Linked DNA regions of Xenopus tropicalis. The protein of the gene in region 2 interacts with the protein of the main gene of each other region in a pairwise test. Links are inferred from orthologs where the notes say so. Each region holds a gene or a part of one and is shown on either strand. Other genes may lie near its edges. The genes, in order: epb41l3, ywhag and fam53c.

Region 1 (10,155 bases), on a different chromosome or scaffold from region 2:
CAGAAAGCCCAAAAATAAAAGTGTGTTAAAGTAACTAAATTATAATGTACTGTTGCCCTGGACTGGGCTGTGTTTGCTTTAGAAATACTACTATAGCTTATATAAATGTGCTGCTGTTTAGCCATAGGGGCAACCATGCTGGAAAAAGGAGAAAAGGCTCAGCTTATGCAGCAGATAACAGATAAACTCTGTGGAATACAATGGCATTCTACAGAGATCTGCTATGTAACCTGTGCCATATAGCCCTATTTCAACTAGAATGGCTGCTGCGGTGGCTACATAGCAGTGTACTTATATAAATTCTAGTTGCCTATGGTATATTTAAAAACACAAAGATTTACAAGTGCATGGTGACAGTACATTTTATTTTAAGTACTTGAAAATACTTTAAATTTTTTTGGTGTTACTATGCCTTTAAGGGCCATATAGCACCAATTTGAAAATTTGCTTTCTGCTAGTTGCAATATCAGATGAATTTAAAATTTGCACAAAAGAAGTAAAAAGAAATAATGAATGTGCAGGTGTGCTTATAGTTTTGGGTATGTATAAGCATGGCGGACATGCTATTTCTGTTTGCAGAACAAATATGGCCTGATAAATGTGCCTGACCCTGAGGGACTACACTTGTTGCACTGATGGCAGTTCTGTGCCTTAGAAAGTCATTCATTGCAGCTATGTCACAGCTAGAGCACAGATCTGTATCCGTGACCCACAGCATCAGTTGGGACTCAATGAAGTGCTGTTGCATTATATAACGTTTAGAAGTCAGTAGAAAGCAGAGTTGGAAACATACAATATCTGACTGATAAAAGATTCAAACAGTTTTGTGTGTATTGAGATTGATTCCATATTATTTTGTTTCACAATAACATTTCTTCTTCCTGTTTCATTTGACTTTTATCTGATATCTTTTATTCTGGAATACCCAAGTAGAAGGATCACAAATTCCCTCAGCATTTAAAAGGCTTTTTCAAACTCTGATGGATAACATCAGAGTAAGTAGGTGGGGTGAGGGTTATCAATTGCTCTGCCTTTTCAGATTTTAAGTTGCCACCAGAGAAACTGCTGATTTGCTGCCTCCAACCCCATATTTATTATGTACTTGTGGGTAGATTTCGATGCAGAATTGTGGGGTAGAAGTCACTGCATTGGCATCTTTTCCAGTGGCCAACAAGCAGCTCCTTCTCGTCTAATGCCATAGTCAAGGATCACTTAGACTACCTGTGACTATTTGCAAGTAGCAGGCAAGACAACTTGGTTGATTCTTCAACTAGAAATAGTTTTTATTTTATTTAATGATTGGGAGCTCACTCTGTCTCCATCTGTTTAGGATCACTGTGCTGAAATAGCTTTGTAAATATGGGGTAAGGGGGCTGTAGTGAGGGGTGGATCACAGTAGGGCAACAAAAACTGTAACCCCACAGGGGCCCTCAGTTTTCTTGTCACATACATCAGCAGATTTTTCACTAAACATCTGTAACACAATGGTACTCTCAGTGGGTGCTCCACTCCAAATTGTAGCGTGCTGCTTTTTAGTGTGACGGCAGGCAGTAGATACAGCTACCGGATTAACATTGTTCTCACTGCTCACTGCTGTTTCAGTTGGGTTCACCACAGTTCGAAGCAGAACAGATTTTAAAATAAGGGGTGAGCTGCACCCTTTTATTTATGAAAATATTGTGAGATGAGCATGAAGAGAATAAATGTGCCAGGTTAGGAAACGCTGGAAAGTCATGTTGGCCATGAATCAAGTTGTGCATGTGGCTTGCAGGCTTACCTTTAGAGAACCATTCTGCTGGGGGACAAATAAAAATTGTGCAAAAATACACTTTTTTGGCAGTGTAACCAGACAAGCAAATGTTGTAGTATATAGTCTCTCTTGTACATTTAAATCCCCAGTGCAATTCACGTGGGTGGCTCTGATCTCTAGTTTGAGCAAATAGTAACCCAGTGTAAGCTGTTTCACACACATAGCAAATAAATTATGGTTATAACCAGATGATTTTCAGTATGCTAATAGTCAGCACCACAGAACAACCCCCCTAGGTTCCATCTGTCCATGCACCCAGTATATTTCTTTATCATCCACACAATCCTGCACAGCAGAGTGTATGTATATGAACTATGTTGCCGCATTCTGAGGTCACATCACCTGGCACTAGAGTAGACCTTGCTGGAATTAGGGACGGGTGGATAGAGCTTCTAGCAAAGATTAACTAGCACTCTAATCACAGATATGACAGCCTGTGCTGAGCAGGAGACATTGTTGAGCTGTTGCTTTTTGAGTATTGATGACTAATAGAAGATCATAGGGCAAAGTTAAACCTATGTCAGCAGAACCAAAGCACTGGCACAAATGACCATAAATGGCTCTCGTAATTATGGATATTATTACCAGGGGTTGTTTTTAACCCCATTAACATTTTGTTTCCTGTTCTTAAAGCAGACTGTTATCTGGGGTTGGGAATGCTGTCGATTTGAGTGCAAAATGATTTCTGTGTAGCATAGCCTGATCTGCAAGATAGTCTCATTTACAAAAACAGTTGTGGAAGGATGTCAAAGATGCCAATTTCTAAATGAAGCTTTCTCCAGAGTACACATATCTTGGACCTGTTTGTCATTCTCTTTTATTTATGCCAAACATCAGCTTGAATTTATGGAGTTTAATGAGGGTGGTTTTTGAGCTAGTGACCAGGACAAAGTCATTGTTTTTTCTTGGGATGTGAAAATGTTAAAAACGTGTATTTTTTTATTGGTATGTGTAGGCTTTGATTTGTAGAAGCTGCAGTTTGGAATGGAAAGGAGTGAAGTCCCAGTAAAACAGATTGCCTTGTCAGCCTTGCAAAAGGATGCCAGCATCAGTTCAGATTTCAATGTCTGCTTTTATTTAACAGAATGTGCTAAGATCTGTACATGCAAACAGATGTTAGGTTTTACCCTCCTTGTACTCCAACTGCTTTTTTGCAAACATTCATTATGCATTTTATTCTGTTACATATAAGGTTGCATTTTGTATATTAATGTACATTCTGGTAAAGTGGTTTTATTTGCTTTTTCTCAGCTTTTGGTGCAGTGTCATAACTAGGGTCATGTGAGCCCTGAGTAAAAATTTGCAACAGCCCCGCCAACAATATTTTTATGAAGAGGCAGATTTTTTCCACAATGCCACTAATATCACTGGGTCCACAATAGTTATGCCACTGGTTGCCACTTATTTCCACATCTCATAATACCCTCAGATTCTTCATCCAATGCCCTCTATTTACCCATGTCCAAGTTATTGCAGTTTTCTTAGCCTTCTAATTATAAAGACATTTTATGTGCCCATGGGCCCCTTTGTTGATTTTGTGCCCTGGTGCAATCACATTATTGGACTGAAATCTGAGAAGCTAGTTACCACAACCCCGTTACACCCTTGCCAAGCCCAGATACTGTTCCCAACCACACAGTTATACCCTTTGCCCCCCTGCACCTATTTTCCATTCAAATGAAGGAGAATAACCCAGTGTAGAGTAGGCATGTCCAGCAGGAATTGCTTGGAGTGCTAAGTGATATAACTTTTTCATGTCACTTTTTAGAAATAATATTTCTGTCACAGGTTTAAAATTCACCAACACTCATCATTGTCAATTGGCTCCCTGTTCAATATATGTTATTTTATTTTAACCTATTCCCCTTAGTTACTTCTCTTTTTTTACAGAAGATCGTGTGCTATATTGCCTAATAAACCACAGGATACAAGGACAGCAAAAAAAAAAAAAAAAAGATATCTCTAGTCAGCATATGCAGTGTCACGTTTACTATTAGCACAGATTTGATTGTGAAATAAGTCTGTGAATCTTGGCAATAGTACGTGGAAAATCCATCCATTTTACTTCTCTTTCCTGAAACGTATTCATTTACATTGAAGAAATTCTAACTTTGCCTTTCATTTTTTACATGTATCCTGATATCGGATTATGGACTTCATGAACATCTGTGTGGACACCATACTTGCTGTGGGGGTTACACTGCTGTTGGTGAGTAACTGAGGTTTCACAATAATCTTTGCATAGTGTTGCATGCACTGATAAGGTCTGATTACATTATGTTTTTATTGTTTATTTTACATTTGAGACTATAGCTTAGGAAGGATACCTTTCTCTACACAAGTTTCTAATTATCTGTTCCTTTGCACCTAATAAGGCTGGGTCAATGCACAGGTTAATCAGAATGATTCTGTTGCATTTGAGGTGGGAAGTTTAGCAAATTATGATTTTGTAGTCCTATGGCTATAAGTGATAGATTATCTGCTGATGAATTGCAGTCTTCTTCCTCTAGTGTCTTGTAAGAATAAGTCATGCATTTAAGTAATACTTAGAAACAGTAGCTTCTATATTGTTCTTACCTGTGTCGAAGAAAACATAATAAGCAGGTTAAAAGGTTGTAATAGAGAAAATAGCCTGTACACTGTAATTGCTCGTTGTCACTTTCAGTCATTAGGTTTTGGTCCTATCTTTAGTTATTTTTTATAGACGTGGAGGAAAGTGGATCTGCTTTTATGCGCACACCCTGTAGCTTCATTAACAGACCCATTGTTGCCCTCTGTGGAGCTTTAGGAAGGGCATATTGGCAAGAGAACAGGAATGTATGCATTTTCACATCAATATCCTCTATGTGGTCTCTTCCCCACAGCACAGGCCTATCTCTGAATTCAAGCCTCAGATACTTCTAAAATCTTTGTGTTAAAGTCAGTTGTTTGTTAATGCAAGGTGGAGGGGTGGTGAGAAGCTCTTACTGAAAGAACTGTTTACATCCTTACTATAATATACCACACCCCAAAGCATAAAGGGAAGAGTGATGGCTTCAGCACTGGTATCATAAGAGGAAGGAGCATAACTATAGGGCAGTGTTCCCCAACCAGTGGCTCCTGAGCAACATATTGCGCTCCAACCCCTCTTATATTGCTCTCCGTGACCTCAAGGTAGGTGCCAGTCCACATCGGGGCTACCAAATAGCCATTTGTAGCTCTTACTGGCCCCCCAAGGAACCTTTTTTATGCTTGTGTTGCTCTCCAACATTTTTTCCTGTTTAAATGTGGCTCACTGGTATAAATGGTCAGGGACCAGGGGCACTGCTATAGGGGTTGCCACCGCAGGAGTGCTATATAATACAGATATATAGATCAGTGATGAGCAACAAGTGATTGTGGGTGCTATGAGTGGTCAGTTACAGCTCACAAATGCTAGGTGACCCACCAGGAATAATATACTGGAATGGGGTGCCCTGAAGAGAATCAGTGTCAGATAGGCATTCCAGAGGCACACAAGAAGACCTTATACCACAAGCCTATTGTCCTCTCTTCAATTATTTCCATTTTACAAGCAATCATCTATTCTTCCCTCTATATCTGTACCCAGGGCCGTTGCTGGCCAAATGGGTGCCCTAAGCAGAAATTTACTTTTGTGCCCCCTCCCCCAAATATTACGGAAGTAAAAATAAAATACACAGAGCCCCCAATTGCCCCCATAGACAATGCCCCCATAGTAAGTGCCCCCAATAGCCCCCATAGATTGATTGAACTATCCGGGACAGCGGGATGCGCTATAAAAACCGGGGGGACAGTGTTGGGGGGTATGTTATAATATATAAAAATGTTTTTTTTTGGAGCAGCTGGGATGGTGCCCCCCTGGGAGTTGGTGCCCTATGCAGACTAAGTACTCTGCTTATAGGGAGCGGCGGCCCTGTCTGTACCCTTTCTTTCAAGCAGAAATGGGCAATAGCCATGGTATAGGCCGGCATACCAGGAGCCACTGGGAGTTTTCTTTGTACCCTTGTGTTGCTGTCTGATACTGATTAAAAGGTTTTGCCAAGATAAATTGGGTAGCCAGGTACCACATCTGAGTCACTTGAAATTGTACATGTTGCCCATTACTGGTAGAAGTCATGCAAGAGTCATAGGTAGGAAGTAGGAAGGGGCCATAATATCTGGAGATTAGACAAGTTTGGTTGTGCTAAGATTATGTGTGTGTGCTTATGAAATATGTGTATATGTATATATGGCAAGTTCCATAATGGTGCGCACCATTTACTTAGTACAGTGCCCTGGTGCCAAAGTCCATGCATATGTATAACCTAAGAGCAACAACAGATAGCACACAAGGGATTTGTAAAGCAAAAAAAATGCAAAAATGTATTGATTCAACATTTTGGCCTCCACAGGGCCCTTCATTGGGGGTATATTAGTGCAATGCAGCCCCTAATGCATTTTGGCAGTTATTTCATTTAATTTATCTTGTACGTCAAGTGAAATATGTGTTGCCATACTTTGGTATGTCTGTTATGTGCAACAGATATACAATATATTACATGCATGATAGAGAAATATGATGCTTTTCCTGTAAATGTAATTTTGCTGTACTTTATAGTAATGTTTTAAGCAGTGATACTGTGGCTGCTTCTTTCATACACTTTCATTTCATAGCAAGTTCTGTTCTACACTGACTGTGGAGGCTTAAGGGCCGTGGCAGACGGGGAGATTAGTCGCTCGCGACAAATCTCCCTTCTCGCGGGTGACTAATCTCCCGGAAATGGCATTTTACCGGCGAGAATGTAAATCGCCAGTGGGATGGCATACGCGGCGCCGCAATTGCCGAAGTTGCCTGTCGAGGTTGTATGTTTCTTTTATTTGATTATACTGGGCTGTTTTAGTGCAGACAAAAGCCGTAAACAAAGCATGGCATATAAGCTTGGTCACGTTACGGTAAAAAAAAAAAATTCTAAATATTACTGGGACTTATTGGATGCCTTTTACTATATATATGGGCCAGTGTTGTACTGACATTGAAAAAAAACAGTTACATCATGTTTGCTACCCCTAAGTTTAAAAGGGCAATATTTATTCTACATATCTACATCTACAACAGCATTAATCAATGTGAAATTTTGCTTTTATGAGCCACAGTAAGACACTTGGTAGAGAAAGCTGTGAATTAAGAAAAGCCATCCTATTAAAGAGCTCATACTACAGGCTGGGACTTGAGTCACATGTATTTTGTATAGTAACCATTAAAGGTTTTATCAGGACTATTACCTCCATGTTTTTGGCTATTAATGTTACCTAAACTCAGTGGGAACCATTTAACATCTACTGGGGATGGATGCTTGTCTCTACAGTAGTTGTTGCTTTGGCTGGGTCAACACATATGGGTTCACATATGAGCAACACAGAACCAGAAAGCAGATAAATTTGACTTTGGTCATTTGAATTGAGTTAGGGTTACTAAAAAGGTAAGACATTAAGGGGTCTCCTGGGTGAGTGCCCATCATTTCATGCCTGCCTTTCTAATTATTACCTAAGAATGTGATCAGAGATACAGACCTATTGGCTCCCATCTGCTTCAGAATGAGTGTGGAATACTCAATGGCATCACTCAGTCTTTTAGCTCGGCTTCTGCAAACCTTTTAGCATTATGTGTATTTTTATGCTTACTTTAATCACATCTCTGAACGTGTGATCTAGCCGGTGTTTACACCAATTAGAGGTCCTGAAAATGTATGAAAATTCCGTACTGCATAGATTTGCCTTATGTGCTTAATGGAAAAGTTAGGATGGAATTTAATTGGGTTAGCATGCTACTATAAGCTTTTAAAAACTTTGTTTTGACAGAACTATTTCTCCTTTGGAGTTTGTTTTAAAACTGTTACTATACTAAATCATATAGTTGTGTTAAATAAATTAGGGACAAAAGTCAGTTTATTTGCAGTGGCATCACTTCAGTGCAAATCTACCTTGGTACCATCATTATTGCTGATGATAATTTCAATTATCCAGTCAGCACCATTGCAAGCCACAAGTCTGACACCGGATGACACCAATGTGCTGGAAGTGGCACCTGCAAGCATCCTGTAAATGAGCCCACATTGTAACCTGTTCTGTGCCATGTGCTGACAATTTCACTGTATAATCACGTTTTTTTGCTAGCAATGCTTTATAAGTGCCTATAAACTATAATTTTTATTCCATACATGGATTGCATATTGGGTTTTGTAGCATAATTGTGCTTTCAGCTTAATATTGTTGCTTAATGGGGTTTTCTGCCACGGTGAAAGGTTAAAATCTTGTACTGTTCAAAGGTTGTAGTAATAATCAGCAAGACTTAGCTGGCGGCAGCGGAAATTTGTTTAGCAAGGATTTTTTCCCTAGGCTGTAAACAACTTTATTGCCCACTGTTCATTTTATGTGGTAAAAGCTTTGCTGGCTACAGGGTTTTGCAGATCGAACAAGGGTTAAGTCTGCGGCTGTGATGGGAGATTATCGCTTTAGAGATAAGGAACCATTTTTTAGAGGCCACCTTATTTGGATGTGCTATTTCAGAAGTTCCTTTTATCTCCCTTTTGCCCAGAGGCTCTTATGGCTGTGGCTTTATTTTTAGACAAGGATTTTTATTCAGTTCAAATGGAGTCTATGGATGCTAATGGAATAAAATTTACAAATTATCTTTAAAAAATAAGGAAGGATAAATCACGTTTTTATAAAATATTATGATCACTTAACAAGCATATGTTGTAGTCCACTAACTTAGTTTTATTGATTGTGCAAACAGAACTGTCCAAAAATCCTGTTTGTCTGAAAATCCTCTGATACAGAGACAGCAGTTTGTAGTGTTTGATTGTGATTTAGCCCTTATTTATTTAAACTTGTGTATTATAATGTGCAATAAAGCCAGGGCCAAAGGAGAGATTTTTAAAAGCCCCTTAGCCCAGCCTTATAATCTGTTAATATATGTGTATTGACAGTGTGACTGTTGCAGGTGTGGTTTAGGCAGTAGATAAGTTGACATATTGTGTAAAAGTTATTTGGTAATTTTCCTGTTGAAAGTGCCCTTGTCTAGTTTTTTGGGAAATCAGAAGGCCCGCCGCATTTCCTCAGGCTTTGTATCTTATCAGATTCTGCTGTTGGAAACAAGGTGGAGTGTTTATCAAAAAGTAGTAGCTGAGAAAACTCTTCTAATATCTTTTCAAAATGGCACTAATACAAAGTGAAACCATGCCTCTTTGCATTCTAGACCTGTTAAGCTGAAAGGATTTTTGAGACCACAGCCTTTCCAGTAGGTGTATTAACATTTTTGGTATAGTAATGTCCGATACAATTTAGACTACTAATACATGGTATAGCAGATATATAAGCCATGTTTTCATATGTGACTAACTGTAAAAGGTGCTTGTGTCTGTGCACATTCAGTGCAATGGCAAATGATTAGAAGCATTTTGATGGGGGTGCCACAAATGACATAAGCCTAAAAGCTGCAGGGAGTTGTCAATTACAGCGGATGAAAAACAGTATTCTTGCCTCTCCTGGTTGATCAGTAAATCTAAAGGTTTCATTTTATTTGTAAGTAAATTGTTGCAGATGATCTGTACTTGCACATTAAGAAAATAGTTTTTCCCTTGGGTTATAACAAGGAGTCAGGCAGGAGAATGCAGATAAGAAAGATCAAGCTGCTGTGTCTACAGATATCTTGCACAGTATCCCCCTGAAATGTGTTTTCTCACTCGAGCTGGTGGCTGACACTGGGAGGGTGAAACAGAACTGCAAACCACAGAAGCTCGACTTGGCAGGCTTGTGCTCCAGTGCCTGCAGACATATCTTGGTGTCCAGCTTGGTTCCTGCTACTTTCTACTTTCTGAAAAGACATGTTTTCCTTTAGCAATGATAGCAAAAATAGCAGTTTTGCTTAATATTTTCACGTGATGGCAGTTTTATAAACAATAAAAAGTAATCCTATACAGTCATCTATGTATGTGTGTGTATACAGTATATATATATATATATATATATATATATATATATATATATATTGTGTAACCCTTTTGGCACTGTCTTCTAAGGTGGGGTTATATTTAAGTTACCTAACCCAAGAGCTGTTGTTAACCATTCTGTGCATTTATATTTTAGATGCAATAGTACAGTGCTTGCACGTACTCACAGGGTCACAGAGGACGCTTAACCATAGACTTGCATTGAATTTCTGCCAAAAATGTATATTCTTATAATGTGTGTGTTGCAACTTGCACGTTTGCACCAAAGACCTTGTAAAACACTAGTGGACAGGAGTCCTAAGCTAGTACTAACTTTGCTTGGACCAGGGAACCAGGTATGAGAACAAGACCTGT
Region 2 (10,155 bases):
ACAGATTTTAATGCAGGATTCTGCAGGAGAAGCGCTATTAGCTGATGAGTTTTGAAAAAAAACATGTTTTCCCATGACAGTAGTTCTAAGGCATTCTGTGCATTAAGCTACCAAGAAACGCACTCAACTCAAGCAAAACAGGTTTTTTTTTTTTTGTGTGCATATATTGCAATATACGACAAGCTGGTCAACTACATCAAAGTCATCCCTGGTCTGGCCAGTCCTACACTCACTTTTATCTGATTCTTTAATAATTCTACTGCTTCAATATAGATTTAAGTCCCTTCCTTAAATTGATATTAAAGCAGCATTCTTAATGAATCAGATAAAAGTGAGTGTAGGGCTGGCCATAACAGGGATGACTTTGATGTAGTCGGCCAGGTTGAAGTATATTGCAATATATGGACAAACAATCCCTGTTTTGCTTGAAGGGTAGCTTAATGCACAGAATGTCTTGCCCTATAGATACTGATAATAGGTGAGTGTAGAGGACCTCTTGTTGTTACTAAAAATCTGTTTTATAGGAGGCACAGCTGACAATTGTCTCTCCACACAAAAAAAAAAGGAAAATCAAAATAAAAGAATGCCAATTGCAAATTGAGGAATGTGTCTTCAACCCTTATGGCCCATGTAAAACCACAGGCAACAGTTATGTTGTCAATGCCAAAAAACCCACAATTTACAAATGAACCCTTTTGGTGCACCTTGGTGTATTTCCCTGCTTAAGATACACATAGTGCATTAGAGCCACATATTTGTGCGTTCAGATTTGGGTACTGATTTGCAACTGTGTGGATACAACCTACAGTATTTATTTTTTTTTTTTAAATATATATATTCATATACATCTTTATAAGGCTATAGTTTCATATTTGTAATCATTTATGTGTCAATATGTCAACATATCTCATTTATATAGGTAACTGGACATAGTGCAAATCCCTTGAAATTCATGGCTATGTGAGGAATCCCTTCAACGGAAACGGATAACAGGGGCTATGAATTAAGGCCAAAGCAAAAAGAAGTGTGGAAAATACACAAATTATTGTCTTCGTTCAATAATAGATTAAAAACGGACTAGGGGGGGAATGTAATATTAGGAGCAAAGTTGTTTCCGTTCTTATTACCATTACCATCATTTACTTATTACCTGTTAAAAAGCAGACACCTTGTTGGTTGGGTTACTGCACCTAGCCAAACTGTGCCTTTTATTAAATATTGGCTTTTTATTTATTGTTATGAATTTAGCTATTGATATCTAAAAAAAAGTCAAGGGGGGGGGGGTGCCTAAGATCAAAACTTTCCTTCTCCTTTAAAGCCAGAACTGTAAGATGCTCTTTATAGGCTTTATAATGGATAATTGCATTCCTGAAAATTACCTAATTTTTTAAGCTTTTGTATTTTGGGATATATTGAGAAAATTCTTTTAATTTGTAAAATGTATTTCCTTTTTCTCTGTAATAAGTGGCAAAACAATCCCACTGGGTTTATTTAATGTGTAAATAATTTTAAGGTATGGTGATCCAAATTACATTAAAAAAAGATCTCTTATCCAGAAAACCTCAGGCCCCAAGCATTATGGATAAAAGATCATATACATGTGTAATATGTGTGTTATACATACAGGTATGGGACCTCTTATCCATAATGTTTGGGACCTGGGGGTTTTCCAGATCTTTGTTATTTGACCACCACAGATAGGATTGTTTTTCCTTCAATAAGGATTAATTTTATCTTAGTTACGATCAAATACAAGGTACTGTTTTATTATTACAGAGAAATTTAAACAATAATTTAACCCAACCAATTATTTGGTTTAAATTAAGGACTATGGGAAATAACTGTCCCGTAATTTCGAGTTTTCTGGATAACAGATCCCATATCTATATCTTGGTTTTAATAATCAGACTATAAAGTATAACAGCATTGCTTATATTCTTTAATAAAACTATCATAGCAGCATTCACTGACAATCATTGCTTATCCAATAAACTAAATCCCCTGCCACCTTTTTATCCTAGGAAAGTCATATGACAGAAGAAGGGAAACAGAGGCTGAAGCTTCCTGATTCACTGGACGCAATACTCCTCCCACATAACTAAAAATAGCATTTACTGTAAATACTCGAGGTCTGGGCACGTATGACCGCCTTTAGTGACATATGATGCAACTAAGGAGGCCTGTTTCCATTAAAAAAAAACAAAAAACTTTAAATGCCCAAATTTTATTAGTAAGTCGCACTAAGATATAGAAATGAGTGCCTAGTCCCTATTCTTAGGAACTACTTCCCTCATTGGGTAATAGGTAGTTAAGATATACAAATGAGTGCTATATTTAACTACCTATTACCCAATATGGGTGGTAGTTCTTAAGAATGGGGACCTAATTTCTTGATACACTAATACACGCATATTCTTTTATTAAGTAAAACACTTTTCCAACTTTTAGATTCAAAGATTATGCTGTGCCTGATGCAAGCATTTTGCATGGTCAGTGCTCCCTTCTTACTACAGTAATTGATTGTCTGTCCTTGTAGTGCAGCTTCGCTGATTGGGTTTGATGCACTGAGCCTGTTACAGGCTGTGCACAGAGCACCTATCTATTGAATCCTGTAGTCCTGTTGTGGACGGTATGAATAAACTTGTAAGTAGAGATATATCAGGCATAAACATTTATTATTTATAGCTATTGCTTAGAGGTTCTAAATATATGAGGACCATAATCATCTATTCTACAATATGGAAATCAGAGCATTTATAAGAGCTCACTGCACAGAAACATATCTGGAATTTTGAGAGAGGTCAAAAGGATCTAAAGAGTTGCTCACAAAATACTCACAATTTATAAAATGTATATCTTGGGAGACTAAACATAAGCACTTTAATATTTTGCAGAGCAGATACTTGTATATTATTTCTCCACAAATGGAAGGCCCCAACTAAGTCCCCAACTGCATAATACAGAACGGTTTGTGACTTACATACATGTGTCCTCTTGTTTTAATTGGTAAGAGTATACAAATTTTGATAAGACCACCTAAAATGTTTCACTTTATTAACCCTGACAAATGTCAGTAGCAGAGTTTTAATATATTTCAGATAAGGGATATATATCTTCAGAACCACCTACAAAATGAATGGCTACATGACATTAATACCTTGGAATTAAGCCATTTATGCTGTCTGGTAACCACCTGGGTGCAATGCAGATTTAGTCTCCTTCTGACATCATCATAGGTTGCTATGGAAATCAGTGAGGCGACTTTTTTCAGATAAGGTAGATGAGGGCAGGGAAGGACAAATTGTAGCCTGACGGTGTAGCTTCACAAAAATGGGGCTGCAAAATTTTATGTTATTTGTTTAATCATTTTCAAAAGCCATCTGATAAAATATAACAAATCAATTACAGACATCAGTTACATGCCATTTGTTCCCCTGCTGCTAACAAACTTGAATATATGCAGATCTAACATAATTCGCTAAAATAAATTCACAAAATAAATTCACAAAGGGTAAAATGAAAAAAAAAATCAATACTAACATAATGTCAAAAAAAGAACATATATCCACAATACAAATACAGTGGAATATATACAATATATATTTGTTCTTCCATTATAACTAAGAGAAAGAGTGAGAGCTCGTTGGCAATATGGTGGAGATTCAGTGCCTGGAATCACTGAAAATCCCTACAATCAAGTATAAAAAATAAATAAAAAGGACTTTGCCATCCTTTTAAACAATTGCCTTTTTCCCCCCTCGATTCCCCTCCCTCCTTTAACCAGTCCAGCCTCTCTCTGCAATATGACAAATGCAGAATCTTCTGGAAGGGCTGGTACTGCCTCCCACTACTGCTTTGTTTCACAAAGATCACATCATAGGCCAGATTTTAACCCTGTCTTTCTACTTATTTCCTAAATATTTTTTTTAAATCATTTAAATACAAAATAAATTGATTTAATATAAAAGGAAAGCTCACAATGCCTGCATGTTTTCATATACCAGGTAATTCTGCATGAAAACAGAATATAGTCCTACATAAAAATAATTTTCTCTGTGAAACCTTAATTATGCATTATTTTATTGAAAAAATACCAGATTAACTACTACCAGCAATGTCCCCCCAAGCAGTTCTTTGGACTGTTGAACTACAAATATTAGCTAAAGGAAATGGGACCTGCATTTCAACAGCAGGAGGGCCACAAGTTTGACAATCCTGTTTTATGACCATTTTGTATTGGAATAAATACAAGGTGGCTGATGCCGGTTTTAAGATGAACACTACTAGGGATCGGATCCTGAGCCAGAATTCAAGTCTGCATGGAGGCTGTACACATTAATGGCAGGTGATAACATATGTTGGAATGCCCTAAGATGTATGCAATAAAGGCATTTTAAACAAGAAATACAAAAAAAACTATTTTTTGTCTGTATATGCCGATGAGAAGTGGCCATTGGAGAACCTGCACTAATCTAAAAGAAATCCAAGGTATTGTGCTGACTACTACTTGCAAATATGTTCAGATGATCAAAATGCCCCAATTTTGATCATTTAAACATATCCTATCACCTGCCTTTAATGTGTACAGCCTCCATGCAGACTTGAATTCTGGCACAGGACACAACTAGTTCTAGACAACTTCAGATAGAAAGTTAATTCATATTCCATCTTAGGACTTATAATTATGCGCACATGCCATAGTAACACTATGTCCCAAGTGTCATAACTACAGAAAATAACTGTAAGGATGAAGATAAGGGAGGGATGAAGGGCTATCCCAATTTTCTAATGTCTACTCCACAGGCCCCTTGTCTGACAATACAGAGAGGAAGCCCAACATGCATCTCTTCAGCAGTTGCTAAGCGTCACCACCCCTCCCTCCCAACAGCCAAAGTACATACATGTACACTTAGGCATTCCCCCCCCATAGAATTGCAATGGATTTATGGTGTTCCCTTTCTAGGGCCCAAGGGTAAATGCAGAAATAGCTGCTGCTACCATTAAAAGGTTTGTCTGCAGATGAGAAGTGTCTTTATAAGTCACAGATACCCTGTGTGAGCAGCAGCATTTATTTGACCTATAACTGAAATGATTTTACAACCAGGCCAGTGCAGTCCCACAGAAGCTGAGAGGATGCAAGTCTGACATCCCTGTCACAAGGTCTCCAAATGTTACCAGTAGCAGTAAGAATGCAGCAAATTAGGAGAATCTGGGAGGGGCCATGGGAAGATATTCCTGGGCAACCCCCTCACAGTTATCATCAAGGCAACACAATTCCATTGTGAATAAATGATGTTCTACATAGGCGTCTAATACATGCCATGCCTGGATACTGGGAAACAGCACAATGACAGGAAACACAACTATGCCTCAATACCTTTTATCCATTCTTAACCAAAACTACATTGTTGACTAATTGGACTATCCTAACATTACTGAACTACAAATCTCAGCATTACTTGATGTTCTCAGCTGGAGAGTCAGACTGTAGATGCCCGCTGCACACTAATGCTTCTAGGGAAATCCCTTACACTTTCCTAAAGCAGGAATGGGCAGCGTAGTCCAGCCAACAGTGGCATCCAGGTGGATAGTAAGTGATAGATCAACTGGAGGGCTGATAGATAAGTGACAGATCAGCTGGAGGGCTTATAGATCAGTTGGAGGGCTGATAGATAGATCAGCTGGAGGGCTGATAGATAGATCAGCTGGAGGGCTGATAGATCAGCTGGAGGGCTGATAGATAAGTGACATATCAGCTGGAGGGCCGCAGGTTGCGCATCCCTGCCTGGAAGTGCATGACTAAAGGTCAGCTGTTTGACAAGCGGTAAAAAGGAAAATGACAGGTTGCAATATCTATATCTATCCATCTATATACAATCGGTAAGCTTCCCTACATGCCCACCTCGGAACCACATGGAGATACACCTCTGCAGATGTGTCCATAGTACAAATGCATTGATCCCTTATCATAGTAATAAACTGATGAACAACTATGAGGTCGGCCACACACATTCCCTCCAGCTCTCAATCATCGCACTTACGGCTTTCATAGCAGCCGCCATATCATCATAGCGCTCAGCTTGCTCCGCCAGTCGGGCTTTCTGCACCAGCTGCTCGCGGTCCACCATGTTGCTGAGTGCGAGACCGTGCGAAGAGAACGTGCGGATGGGTTCGGGGCTTGCGACTCGCACTCGACTGCAGCGGAGACAGCGCAGAACAGATGCAGAGGCTGGACCAAGGCAAAGCCTCCTTAAATGTCAAATGCGTCTTTACAGCTATCTGCAAGTCTTCCTCCTCTCGCTGTCACCTACTAGCAAATAACGGCTGCTTGCCTATCTAGCTACTACCCAGTCTGTAGCACCTCCAGCGACTGCCTCACTCCAACTCCGCCTCCCAGCCTATTGACGTCACTTGGAATAAATATAAGTCCCGCCTACTTGGCGCCGTCACCCACCGTACAAGGGCAGCAGTTTGTGCTTCGATCACTAAAAGGTCTTGGTTGACTGCGGGGCGGTGGTTCCAGGCAGAAATAGTGCGGTACAGGGTGGCAGGGTAGATCCGCATGGTTTGATGGGAATCGTAGTTTTCTTAGGCATGCGGTACCGATGTGCATGTAGGGAAACGCCTTGAACAAAAGACTACGTCTCCCTCCTTGCTCTCCGGCTTCTAGTCGCTTATCGCCTGCAGTGATATTTGGGATATCTCCAATTTGATATTGTCAGTAGCTGCTAACTTGAGAGTTTAACGGTAACATTTATCATAATCTTGTTCCAAATGGGTGTTCTGTTTTGTTAAACGCTGAATGGTGTACCGGGAATCCAATAAATCTTCATAGTTCCATCAGCCTGACCTGACGTGATACTTGTCCTGTTACTCTTGGGTGCCTTGTAATATTCACACAGGTAGAGTCATTCCATTGTCAGAACAGTTCAGAATGTGATAGGCTCGGAGGCCTGCATTCTGGCTGGTACATGTTTACTTGGCACAAACTTTACCAACAGTTTAAAAGCTTAAACTTTACTGTCACACCCTGTGACTTGGAAAAGCCTTTATGGCATTTGAGTTAACTATACTTTTCTGATAAGTACTAATTGATGCTATGCACAGTTAGGGTTGCCACCTGGCCAGTATTTTGCCAGCCTGGACTGTAAAAATGATGGTCCATGCCAAGTTTATAAATAGAAAATTAGATTAAACTATAAGGAGGCGGGTATTTCTTCCCAGAAAGGTGGCAACACTATGCACAAATGAATACAATATCAGATTGTATACTATGGAACATTCCATCTGTTGTGACAGAGGCTTCTAAGCATCTGGGTGACTTCACAGTCTAAAGCGTTTCATCTGTTGCAACTGGAGGATGTTTCAACAAACAAAATGCTCCAGGCTGTGACATCCTCCCGGTGCCACCCTGCTGGGAGAACACGCTGCAGAGATGCCACCTGTTTACAATTCACAGATTGCTGAGAAGGGAGAGAAGACTGGTGCTCAGGATAGACTTTTTAGAAACAACATATATGTTAGAGCAATTTTAGTAAGAGTAGTTTTTTATTAAAATGTTTACACTATGTGGATTTTGCCTATAAACCACAGTTGATCAAATAAAGGAGCCTGTCTGGTTTTGAACCAGAGAGCCCAGTTTTTCAAGAGCAATCAGTTTCAAAACTTTCTATCCAGGGTTTTAATGTTCTGAAAACTGGGCAGAAATTATGCAATAACCCAGCATCAACATCACAGCATCATCCCCAATGTGCTAGCTCTGCCCAAACTTTATTGGCCTACCCTTTTGCCCAGTTTTAGCCCATGGCAAGGGTGGCAACCCAAGTCACACCTCCAGTTCTGCTGTGGCATCAGCCTTCTTTGATAACAAGCAGGACGAAATGTTAAACCTTGCACAAATAATTGTGAGCTAAATAAAATCACAATTAAAAATAGAAAACCACCTCAACACGTTTCAGAATTCCTAGTCTTTTATGTAATAACAGGTACAATGTTTGCCCTGGTGTAGTAACCCATAGCAAACAGCAGGTGTTTGCTGCTAAACAGGTGACCTGTAAATGCTACCTGATGATTAGTTGCTATAGTTGATTAGACCTGGAACAAACTTTGCACCTTTTATATTTTGTAGGGGGTTGCAATACCACACTGGATCCTAAGTCTCTCTTTATAACGTTACCCATCTTTCCTGAGAAAGAGTGGAGATGAAGTACCCAGTACGGTGAATTTTTCCTACTTGTCCTTTAATAAATAATCAATATACCCTTCACACCAGCCACCATTAAACAGACTTATGTTGAATCCTTCTACCCATGTTTGCTATGCTTGCTAAATCGTTCTGCATTTTCCCTTTGACCCTTCCAAGACACAGCCTAGATTCTTATCCACATCTTAGGCATATCCTCTTTAGACTTAGGGCTCTGGCACACGGGGGAGATTAGTCGCCCGCGACAAAACTCCCTGTTCGCGGGCGACTAATCTCCCCGAGTTGCCTACCCCTGCCATTCCACCGGCGAACATGTAAGTCGCCGGCGGGATGGCAGACGCGGCGGCGCGATTTCGCGCAAATCGCCGAAAAAGACTCGCGAGTCTTAAGTAACTCACTTTTTGCAGACCCCCCTGTCTAAACTCACTCCACTCCAATTCATCATAAACACCTGCTACCCTCATACAACTCTCCTCCCACTCCACAAGTAATGCCCCTCTCTGCCAGTCTCTGCACTGGCTACCTGTCAATGTCATACACCGAATTTGCTTCAAGATTCTTGTACTCACAAAGCACTCAACAATGTTGCACCACCATACATTACATCTCCAATCACAACCCTATGAGCTTTTCTCCTCCTTACTTGTTACCTCTTCTCACTCCTGCATCTAGGCCTTTGTACGTGTTGCACCCATCCTCTGGAGCTCTCTGCCATATTCCATGAGACACACTCAGAGCCTCCATGCTTTTAAACAAGCCCACCTGTTCATTAAGTCCTATAACATAAGCCCTCAGCAACTTGACCACCTTCCTAATCCTCTTTACTTACCCCCACACATTAACTACTGATTATTCATCTTTCACTATGCACATCTCATTACTATCCTAACCAACAGGAACTCTACAACCAAACTGGTTACTCTTGCCATATATGTCTCACTTCCTTTCCCTATTAGATTGTAAGCTCTCCCAGTTTTTTCCTTACTACTCCAGTACTTGGGTCCTTGACCCAAAAGGGTGTCTCTAAAAAAGGGAATTATTAAGGCAACCTAAATAATAAAGTAAATAATAAAAACAATTTCTAGGGTAGCTAACCACAGCAGGAAGTTAAAAAAAAGTTATATTATTATTTTCTGCAAAATGTGTGATATTTTCCTGGAGTGTGTTCATTTCAAACTGTTGAATAGTCCATATGGCCCCATGATCAATAATATGTTAGACCACAAGTGTCCTATGCACTAGATCACATGTGTCAAACACAAGGCACTTCTGGCTGTTTTATGTGTCCCCTGGTGACTGTGCCTGACCATACAGTATCTTAATAAAAAATTTGGCAAGCAACTTAGCCTGTTTTAGATTTCAGCCCCCTTTTGTGATTGAGTTTGACACCCCTGCACTAGATTCTTAAAGTATACAAGAAGTATATAAAATGAGTTGTACACAATTGCTCAGTATTTTATGAAGTCTAATTACGCATAGCAATGGGTTTTCTATGTGGTTATGGCCTGTGCAGGACATCTGTGGACATCTGTTATAACCACATTGTTTGCCAAAGATTTTTCTAAGACGCACAATTCTTGGTAGTTTGTCTCAGCACAATTTTCCCTGGGTAAAGTAATTAAGAATAAGGAAAGAGACTATGTGCTATAAACAATTTCTTAGGTGGCATAAATAATAGCTACTGGAAAATATGTTGCTGTACTTTCTATTTCTTAGCAGGTTGCTATTCCTGACCCTTTCTTGTAATGCAATGGCAGGTGTTCCCAAAAGTCATGTACAAAATATTATTTTAATTTTGAAATTCTGCCTATAGGAATTTATTATTATAATTAGTAATGAGCGATTTTTTTCGGCAGGCATGGATTTGCAGCAAATTTCCACATTTCGCTATTGGCATATTGTTTAGTGAAACTTTAGCGAAAATCCACTGCAAAAAAATGTGTTGTGCATCA
Region 3 (10,155 bases), on a different chromosome or scaffold from region 2:
ACGGTCACCTTTTCTCAACATCCTACCCCTCAGAAGCCATGTTCCAATATCCTGCAGAACCAATATCCTCCTGCAGAAACAGGCTGTCTACAAGTCTAGGTTTAATCCTCTATGTGCACAATTACATGAACGGTTTTGGTTGAAGAGTTGTCCACAAACATAAAAAAGTAATTTGCATGTCTTCACCCATAATTCTTTAAGTGAATTTCTCTTTTTGGATGATTTAAGGCAACACTGTGAGTCATCGGGCACATAATATACATAAATACTAGCAAGAGGCAAAACAGATGCTACATGCTGGAAGGAGTCTAAATAAGATAGACAGCCACACATATATACCACTGCAATTCCAACATGACAAGATAAACAACAGTCAAGTAATTATTTACCAAGGTTTCACCTTCTGACTAGTTCGGTGATACCAATTGCTTTACTAGTTGTATTGGTGAGATTTTTCGTTTGTGGTCCACAGAGCACAGAAGTGAGACTTTGTAAGCTCTTTTAAATATCTAATATTAATTTAATAAAATACTCATTACACAGTTATTATAAGTGCTTCTACTAGATCATCACACCAGTTATACTTATGGTGAAGATATCAGAACTGTGGGTACTATTCCACCAAGGCTAACTAGGCAGGATCTAAGCAGCTCATCAGCTTACAGGAGGACCTTATTATAAATATATATATTAAATAATACTTGCCGGCATACTATTTTCCCCAGTGTATCAGTAACACTCTGCAATTAGTTTTAAAGGATAAGTGAAGTCTAAAAAAAGATTACAGTAGAAACAGCATATTTTATATACTGAACTTACTGTACCAGCCTAGAGGTTTAGCAGCTAAGCTTAGGGGGTCATCAAAAATGATCAAGGCACTAGAAGAAAGTTATATTACAACTGTCATAGAAGCTGAAGCTAAAGAACTGATTATAAATCAGTTCTGATGCAGAATTCTATGCTGTCATGTAAAGAAACTTTGAATTTGTAATTAATCAGCCTTATTTATTTAACTTTACACTATATTTATACTGTATATCAACTAGTGGCTCGCCACCCCCTTTAATGTTGCTCCCAGTGGCCTAAAAGTAGGGGCCTTTTTTAAAACTCTGGCTTGGAGGCAAGTTTTGGAAGCACAGAGACACAGTTTTACTTCAAGCAGAACCTTCTGCAGGCCAGCAGTCCACATGGGGCTACCAAATAGGCAATCACAGCCCTTATCTGGCACCCCCCAAGAAATTGTTTCATGCATGTGTTGCTCTCTAATACTTTTTACATGTGTGGCTCATAAGTACAAAAGGTTCAGGATCCCTGCTGTATATGATGAACTGGCCCCTAGGTTCAAGTAACTGATAGTAGCTAAAAACATGCACTGTGAATCAGAAGCAAAGAACTGGAGATACTGCGGGCATCTTTGGAGCACAGCTCTTAACTGCCAAATGTTGTGGTGATCTTGAGCTGGTACAGAAGTCCAAAACATATGCTGTAACATGTCTATTCTAATTCTTTTATAAAGTTCAGTTCTCCTTTAAGTAGCACTTAAATTCTTATGTAGAACACCATTTCAGAGTTGTGTATGGATACCTACTGCAGTCATTATTTTATAAACTTTCAAACTGGCAAGGCTGGAACACACCTGCAGATATCTGGACTACAGTAATCAGAAAAATGTCAATAAAAATAACATGAATAAAACTCTCAATATGGAAAATTTAGAGCATTGGTACAGTAAAATATCTGGAAAGATTTTGCATTTGTTTGTGTTAACATGCAGAACACCCCTAAAGCAACATTTTAATGTTCCACCCCTGAATTGCAAATTTTCCATTAGTTCAAAAACCCAACAAACTTATGGCTAGCTTAAACAAGTTGTTTTATTTGACTGGTGTTAATGCATTTCCTTAAAGGGCTATGGAACACAGAGCACTGATCAGGAATATCTAAGTTGCATAGCATGAAGCAGAATTTCACTGCAATTAGTCTAAATGGAAAGAAAAATTGAAAATAATTCTAATTACTTCTAATTACTTTTTGTTGAGGGTGGCAAAGTGTAATCTTCCAGAAAAGAAAACCAGAGTGCAAAAAAAAAAAAAAAAAATACTTGGGTTTGTTGTTGAGAAATCTGACACAAGATATAGTGTTAGGATACCTAACACTCACAGATGCTGCTGTTCCCTCACTCCCTAATCCCCAGATATAACCAAATGAATCATCTACATGACCCCCTAAATTATAAGTTTAGCTACTTACTAATATTTTCTAAATGTGCTAAATGTATAGGCTCTGAATTCTACTAGTAGCAAAGTTAAAAAAAGAACACAGGATCTTAAGAGGACATAAATCTACCATAGCAATGCTGCTCTAATACAAATTCCAACAACCACCAGTATATTATCAACCACAACAAGAGCTATGGTCCAGCAACCACAAGAGGTTTAATTCTTAAAGCAACACTGCACAGTGCACAAGAAAACTTCCTTAGCACAAGCAGCTCTACTTCTTCAAGATCTTACAATGTGAAATGTGCCTGCTGTGTTTACAACTGACTCTACTTCCTTATGTAGTCCGTGTTACAGTGGCATCTTCTATATTAAGGGACGATTTATAGTCAGCAGTAACCGGACCACCAGAACATTTTAACAAGTTTAAGTTATATTACATCATTCATGGTTGAACTGGTTCTAGGGCAGACCATGTACTGTAAAAAGTAAACTAGATTACGGAGTTTACATTAGTGAATTATGATCACAGAGTTCATATTTTATTACTGCCTTGATGAGTTTTAAATAAATGCACCATAACTAGTATAGTGGCAATAATATTTGTAAACCTACAGTGTAATACTGACAGGCTTGGGGTGCCAGAGAATCAGTTTTAGGGGTAGGTCTATTTCCTTTATGATGGTTTAGATAAGCTGGATAGAACATATAATTTCAGAATCTGGGTTTTTCTTACAAACTCACTGATTTTAAACACTGCATTTAGCACTTTCTACAAGAATAGTTTGCTGATATATATAGAAATTCCTTGACTTCTCAAGTTTAAAAATGCAGTATGGATATGGAATGGAAGCATGGAAGATTGATGGAACACCTTACCAGACTTATACTGAAAGACTTGCATTTTAGATCCTCCAGACTTTGTTTCTGCAATTGTTCCGTAATCATTGAGATCATGATGCCCAGGTCTGGCTGTTCATTTGTGTTTTCAGTAACGGTTATAGCACATGATGGCCCATTAAGTGCCAGGATCTATTGGGCCTGACCCAAGTGGAAGCTCAGATTGACCCCATCACTCCATCCTGCATGAGCCAAATACACAATCAGTCAACAGCTTTATAATTCTACACATTTAAAATCAATCACTAACAATCAGTAGCAACAAGAAATATTCTTGGAAGATGCATGTATTTTGTTGTAGCAATTTAGTCCAGAAACGTAACTGATAGCCAAGATGTCTAATTTACCTAAAAGTAATATCTGGACTGTAAACCAGCAGATCAGCAATGTCCAGCTTGTATCTTTCTTCCCCCTCTGAAGTACAGTTCCTAGCACCACCAGAGATACATCTGGCTGTTAGGAAAGCCACGATTGTAGTTAAACAAGAGTTGGAAGGCTGCAAATTGGACACCCCGTCAATGGATATTTTTGAGGCCCCATAATGTGTCAAATGTGTTCTGAATAAAACTTGGACATCATTTGCTTTTGATTCTTAACAAAATACAAGTTGGTTTATGAATAATTTCATTCATTCATGTACCGTGACCTGCTACTGACAAACTACCCATTCGCAAAATACATATATTGTCTGTGTATGTTATCCATGCCTCCAGATACCTGAACAAATAGAAAAATTGCACTGTTTAAGCCAAATGATTTTAGATTGCAAGCTCTACAGAGATGGGCCTTCTTTGCCTCCTGCATTGATCAGTATTTGTATGGAATCTGCATATTTGATGTATACACCCATCTACTATACAGGGCTACGTAATATGTTGGCAGTTTACACATTTCAATAATTCAATAATCATTTTACATTTTTGATCACAAGGTTTAGATCACCAAGACATAGGCCTTAGAAGCCAGGCAAACACTCAGTGGCAGAGCAGCATTAAAAATGTCTGTTTTCCAATGGGTACATTGCAAATATTAGTAAATGGCACCGGCAGTAGGTTTATTTAAAACAGAATTATCTGAGAACTACGCGAATGCTGTAGAAAGCTGACATGTTGTGTTTGAAGGAGGATGGGGAAATGTATGTAACCCATTTACACCAAGGTAGTTGGTTGCCTGCTCAGTAACATATTATTGGGCAAAACCGAGCAGCTACGCTGAGGGCAGCAGTGGGCCCCCCACCCTGTGACTGCATTTCTAAGTGTGGAAAATGAAGAGTTAACGGCTTGTTTATCTCCCTCCTCAGGAGATGGCCTGACCAGCGCCTACAAAAGGGGCCGCATCCCGTACCGCCCGATTTCCAGAGGCCTCGCTTTTCTAACAACCTCCCCGTCACCTTCCCGCTACCACCCCACCTGTTCTTCTTCAATTACCTGTTTCAGCAACGACCCTCCCAGCGACCCGGAGCAGCTCTGAGCCAGCAGCGGCCCTGCAGCGCCCTTAAATACCACCCAGAATATACCACTCAAATAGGGGAAGCTTGCTGTGTACAGCATTACAATTTGAGATGTGAAATTCACAATACCCGGTTTCTATAAGCCGATTTAATTATAAATGATTCCTACTTCCCTTACATTCAGAGATACAAGCACGGAGATGACGGTCAATGGATTTGCAGCATCCCGGAGTCGGCCCAATATCCCTCTCAGGTGAATGAGCTGTCCCGTCCCCATTGCGGGATAAACCATGAAGCTTTATAGACAGGGCAAATAGCGGTACACCTACCGACTACCGGTGAGGCGGATGACCTGTAAGCATCAGTACCAGTTCTTCCAAAGGTAATACTGTGTGCAAAACGCCTAATCACACCTTGTGGCCAGAGGCGCTCTAAGCGTGGGCGGTTCGCCGTAGCAGAAGCCACTCTTTCGCTCCCCCCACACCGGAGAGCTCATGCGAAAGCAAAGGTTGCTGGAATATGTAGTTTCCAGGCGTTTGAACAGTGCAGAGAGTATGCGGTTTTTACTGCTGTCTAGGAACTTGTAATCTGGGTTGTTAGTGGCCCTATATTTCAGAGGACGGTCACCCCTTAACTACATTCAGAGACAAACCTTGTTTCTGTGGTGTACTGCTTATTATTAGGGCCCCATCGCTCGGTATGGACGATCTGGTAAGTCAGGACCTATGTAAGGGGGAAAAGTTTATAGAATGCTGCGGAAACAACTACAATTTAGAACCAATGTTACGAATGTTAAGCTTTACAAAAGCACCAGATTAAAAAATTACATTAAGTATATTCAAAATAGAAAAAACCTGATATCTTCAGCCAAAGCTTTCTGACAAGAGGGAACATATCCTGGGAGCAGCTGCTAAGGTACCAGCATGCTTTGCATGAGAATTACATCACATTACAATTTTATAAAACTATTGTTTATAATTGTCACTGCTTAAAGCTGGCCACATGTAGTGATTTTCGATCAACAGATGGTCGCATGAAAGATCATTCCAACCCTCCACTGATGAATCGTCAGATATGGAGGTAGAAACAATAGGATTACTACCTCCTTCTGCCGATTCAGCCCTAAACAAATGGTGCCCAATCAAAATCTTTTAACCTGCCCAATCGGCAAGTCGATATCCTCAGCCTTCTGCGATATCGGTCACCTCACCGAGTTGCCATACACGCATCGAATATCGTACGAAACAAGGTTTTGTACAATATTATCGGTGTGTGTATGACCAGATTAACATAAATGGCAAGAAATATTTTATAGCTACGGGAGTAAATTACTCCTTCCTTTCGCTGAAGAATAGTAATAGCACACATATTTTTTGCTGCTCTGGGGTGGGGGAACAAAACTCTAAATCCCCCCGATAAATGGGATCCAACACGGTGCTTAATCTGCTCAAGACACTGCAAACAATAGTCATCTGCCATTAGAAAGGAAGAGGCTCATTTAATGTCCCTTCTTAGCTTTTGTGCTTCCATAAATTGAGGCCCACATGCTTGACATATTGTGGTGCACACAAGTGTAGAAACCAAAAGTTTTCAGTTCTGACACAAGCACGCCGTTTTTAAAAATACACACGCTTTGTTTTACCACACGAAAAGAAAAAGTTGTAAAAGCTAGCATTTTACAGAACTAGTTAAAAATGTACATAGGCAGGGGAAGTGGGGGAAAAAAAATAATTTTAGTAGCAGCCCAATAAACCAGATTTGGGGTGGGGGAGGGAGGGCCATTTGCTTTGGTACTTATTGAAAGACAGCCGAGCTGCAGAAGTTATGCAGCTTTTCATAAATGCTTATGTAAAAAATTGATGAGTACAAAAAAAGTTACAATAAAAATATTTATTTAAAAATCATATACAAATAGCCAACACATTAAACATTAAAAATTTTGACTGTGGGAGCTGTGTGACTATATGAACCAGATGTTTAGAAGTTTCTATAGTGCAACACTAAGTTTCCAACCAAACATAGAACTTTTCAAACACTCAACACAATTAGAATGAGGTATTTCTATATACCACATAACGTAAGGACAAGCGTACAACAAACAAAAGATTGGCACAACCACTTGCTTACTGCCAGACAGCAATACTAAAGCCAGTTGTTGTACAGCAAGTGCAAATAAGGCACGTTCTAGTGCTAAAAAAAAAAAAATTATGGTCAGCATTTGGAAAAAACTAACCTCCTTTAGTGCCAAAGATCATTTCACCCCTAAAGAAGAATACCGAGACAGTGCGTGAGGTCAGTCATTTATAGCATTATAAAGACACATTTATAATAGCAGTTAAGAAAGATGCACCAAGCCATTTATTTTTGTTGGTAGGAGACAAACTGTACAGTAGAGAAAGGTATGCAGACAAACTAGAAGAAGAACCCGTCTTCCAGGGTGCTCTTTTAAAGCCCTTTGCTTTCAACGCACGCAAAAAATAAATGTCGTAATTAAAGTATTGACCACATAAATCCTTGAAAGTTCAAAAAAAGATGTGACTGATTGTAGCATAATATAGGGTCTACAAGCCTATCCAATGTGGGTAGGTGTAGTTATTTGTGTGATCACGAAACGGCAGCCAATCAAAAGAATTTTGAATCTGGTCTTCACAGTAGCCCAAGTTCTGCAGGGCAGATAGCTGTGATAGGGAAAAAAAAAAAAAAAAAAAAAGTTAGCCCATGTGTCAGTCTTCAGATACATTATGAATCTTAACATCCAACTATCCTTATTCATTTACATATTAGCTTTATATGATTACTGGTATACAAACAAGCAGGGACAGCCAGGGCTTATCACACCACCACTTAGAGAGGTAACCTCCTTAAAGGAGAAGGAAAGGCTAAATCACTTGGGGGTGTGAAAATGTTAGGCACCCCCAAGTGATTTTAATCGCTTACCTTTTACCCCAGGCTGGTGCCCCTGTTAGGAGAAAACTGCACCAGCCTGGGGTACCTGTAGCGAGCACTTCCTTCCTCCGCAGCGAAATCCCTGGGCCGGCACATGCGCATTAGAGTGAAAAAACAATTTTCTTGTTAAAGTTCAGCTTTTCACTCTAATGCGCAGCATATCAACGTGGAAGGAGGAAGCGCTCACAGCTACCCCAGGCTGGTGCTGTTCTCGCTTAACAGGGGCACCAGCCCAGGGTACAAGGTAAGCGATTTAAGTCACTTGGGGGTGCCCAACATTTTGGCACCCCCAAGTGACTTAGGCTTTCCTTCTCCTTTAAAGATACAGGGCAGATAATCAACCAGTTCTAATGCAGAATGTGCTAGTTTATTCTGAGCCAAGTAATGTAAATTTGAATTGGTACCAGCCTGTTATCATTAAACTGTAAAAATACTGTATATTTTGAGTTAGTCCCTAAGCTCAGAGTATGTGTTGTGTACCAATTGGAGCTACTGGGGTCATCTTCGGAGATAGATCTTCACTGCTGTGGTAGACTTGGGCTGGTACCGAAGTCAACATAAGTGGTGTATATTTTTTTTTTTTTTTTTTTTTTTTTTTAAGACAGGGAGCACAAAGCATCACCTGAAACAAATAGGGAAAAGACTAAAGCATTTAAATACCTGCAGACCAAGCCAGTCCATGTCTAGGTTTTGCAAAGAGTCGCTTTCCTGTAGCCAAGAGTCCAGTAGCCTCTGTGTTGAATTAAATGAGCACTCCTCCCTGTATGGTAAAAAATAATAATAATTTCAATAGGCCTTGTTACAGTTACTATTCCTTAAAAGCACTGTGAGGTATCACTGCAGACCCTGAGCTGGCATTATTTTCATTACCCTTGAAAAAAATTAACAAAAACCCAGAACAAATTGACACTGCAGTTCATAGCACACTGCAGCACGCTGTGTGATCGCTTTGAACTGGTTGGCCCCACATTTGGCTAATATATACATACTATGCCTTATATTGCTGCTATATTAATCAGACTCGATTGACCAACATCAAGAAATCTCTGGGATGCCTGGATATCTTTCAGAACACAAGAACTCCAACACCAATCGATAACCGATACAAATGACTCTCCCCGACTTCTACCTGGATGCCCCTTTTCTCCCGCTGGATTTAAAGGAGCACCTGTCACTATATACACTATCCATTTCCATCATAACCAACCCCCCCCCCCTTTTTTTTCCCCTTTCATTTATACCAAGATGTATCGTAACCCATGTCACCAATATTGTTACCAATTAATATGTAAAAAATTGATAGAGATTATATAATGTGTGGAGAGCGAGAGAGCAGATAGATATAGAATCTAAACTTGTTAGAGACATGCAAGATACTTACTTTAATGAGTTTTGTGAAGGGGGATCCCAAGCATGCAGAGCACGTCTCCAAAGTTTTATCTGCATGTCCCAGGAGCGGCGACTGTATTTCTTATATTTGTTTGGGGTACGGGGGTGAACTCCTGGCTTCCTTTCAGACCTATTAAGAAAAATGCAAACCAAGAGCGCTTATTTACTAACAAAAAGGAGTACAAAGCCAGATGTCCACATTAAATGCTACCTGCTGATTGCCATTTTTGTAGAACTAGGAACAAGTGCAAAATTGTTGCAGCTTATTACCATGATTACCATCATTTAACAAAATAACTGCTGTACCTTTGTTTGAATGGATTTAGGTTTTAATGCATCTCCACTTTACACACACACACTTTGTAAATGTAGTTTGTATGATGAGGTGTACCTGTCCTAAAAAGTCTTCAGCTATGGAAAAACTGGAACATACCAAGGGAAAGAAGCCCCCCTTTTCCCTCATACGCACACATAACAGATCTATATAAATGCTCACTTGGGCACCTGTTGCAGGTAACACTGATATCCAATTGTGTTCTTCCCATAGTCTATTTGTTTCTGTCGTCTCTGCAGAGTGGCTTCATCCGTCTCATATCTGGCAGTATCATGAGATATGGTCATACTTCTTGAGAAGCTTAAGAAAAAAAAAAAAAATGAATACCACAAGAAAAATTTACATGCAAGTGCTTATTTTCTTAGCAAAGATTTTTTGCAATATTCGTGTAGGAAGAAGGAACCCAAGTTGCTACAAGTACTGTGTGAACAGTATAAGTTACTGCATTTGAGCAGATCTGCACAATACTAATTAAATTGTAATATTCTCAGTATTAAAAAAAGTAAGGCACCTATTTGTACAAAATTTTCAACACTTACACTGGGAACATAAAAAGGTAGCTTCACTGATTAATAAAGGCTGCATTCCTAACTTATCAGAAAAATGCCATCCCATATTATCTGGCTCCAGGAAAAATTTAGCAGCCTGAGAAGCAGAATAGCTCCAAAGGTGCTTTGTTCTTGCTTCAGTAGGATGATGACCTGAGCCAGGCAGACTCTCTACAGGCCACAAGTCAAATGTATCTTAAAATCTATTTGAAACTTAATCATTCCTGGATCTGGCTGAAACACTAGCCATAGCCAGGCTATGATATACCCCTTGCGTCAGCATGTCTAGTAAGGGTTGTTCTTCCTATAGAGGCTCAGTACTGTTCTATTGATAAGCAATGAGTTAATGAAAGTTAAAAATCCTTATTT

Evidence for each region.
Region 1: the proteins of ywhag (region 2) and epb41l3 interact in binary tests that used the Homo sapiens proteins (3 or more experiments, as listed by UniProt). The link is inferred for Xenopus tropicalis from reciprocal best matches to the Homo sapiens genes YWHAG and EPB41L3.
Region 3: the proteins of ywhag (region 2) and fam53c interact in binary tests that used the Homo sapiens proteins (3 or more experiments, as listed by UniProt). The link is inferred for Xenopus tropicalis from reciprocal best matches to the Homo sapiens genes YWHAG and FAM53C.

The regions. Positions count from the first base shown.
Region 1 is NC_030682.2:106,251,967-106,262,121, forward strand, and holds the start of epb41l3 (band 4.1-like protein 3), read left to right. Parts: upstream 1-3,891; 5' UTR 3,892-4,019; intron 4,020-10,155. UniProt on the Homo sapiens protein: Tumor suppressor that inhibits cell proliferation and promotes apoptosis. Modulates the activity of protein arginine N-methyltransferases, including PRMT3 and PRMT5.
Region 2 is NC_030678.2:94,291,704-94,301,858, forward strand, and holds the start of ywhag (14-3-3 protein gamma), read right to left. Parts: upstream 6,269-10,155; 5' UTR 6,129-6,268; coding exon 6,042-6,128; intron 1-6,041. UniProt on the Homo sapiens protein: Adapter protein implicated in the regulation of a large spectrum of both general and specialized signaling pathways. Binds to a large number of partners, usually by recognition of a phosphoserine or phosphothreonine motif.
Region 3 is NC_030679.2:48,023,894-48,034,048, reverse strand, and holds the start of fam53c (protein FAM53C), read right to left. Parts: upstream 5,043-10,155; 5' UTR 4,899-5,042; intron 4,857-4,898; exon of another isoform or gene 4,748-4,856; intron 4,680-4,747; exon of another isoform or gene 4,547-4,679; intron 3,302-4,546; 5' UTR 3,177-3,301; coding exon 3,099-3,176; intron 1-3,098. Other genes in the region: oocyte-specific histone RNA stem-loop-binding protein 2, read right to left, coding at 7,131-7,247, 8,176-8,275, 8,897-9,034, 9,401-9,538.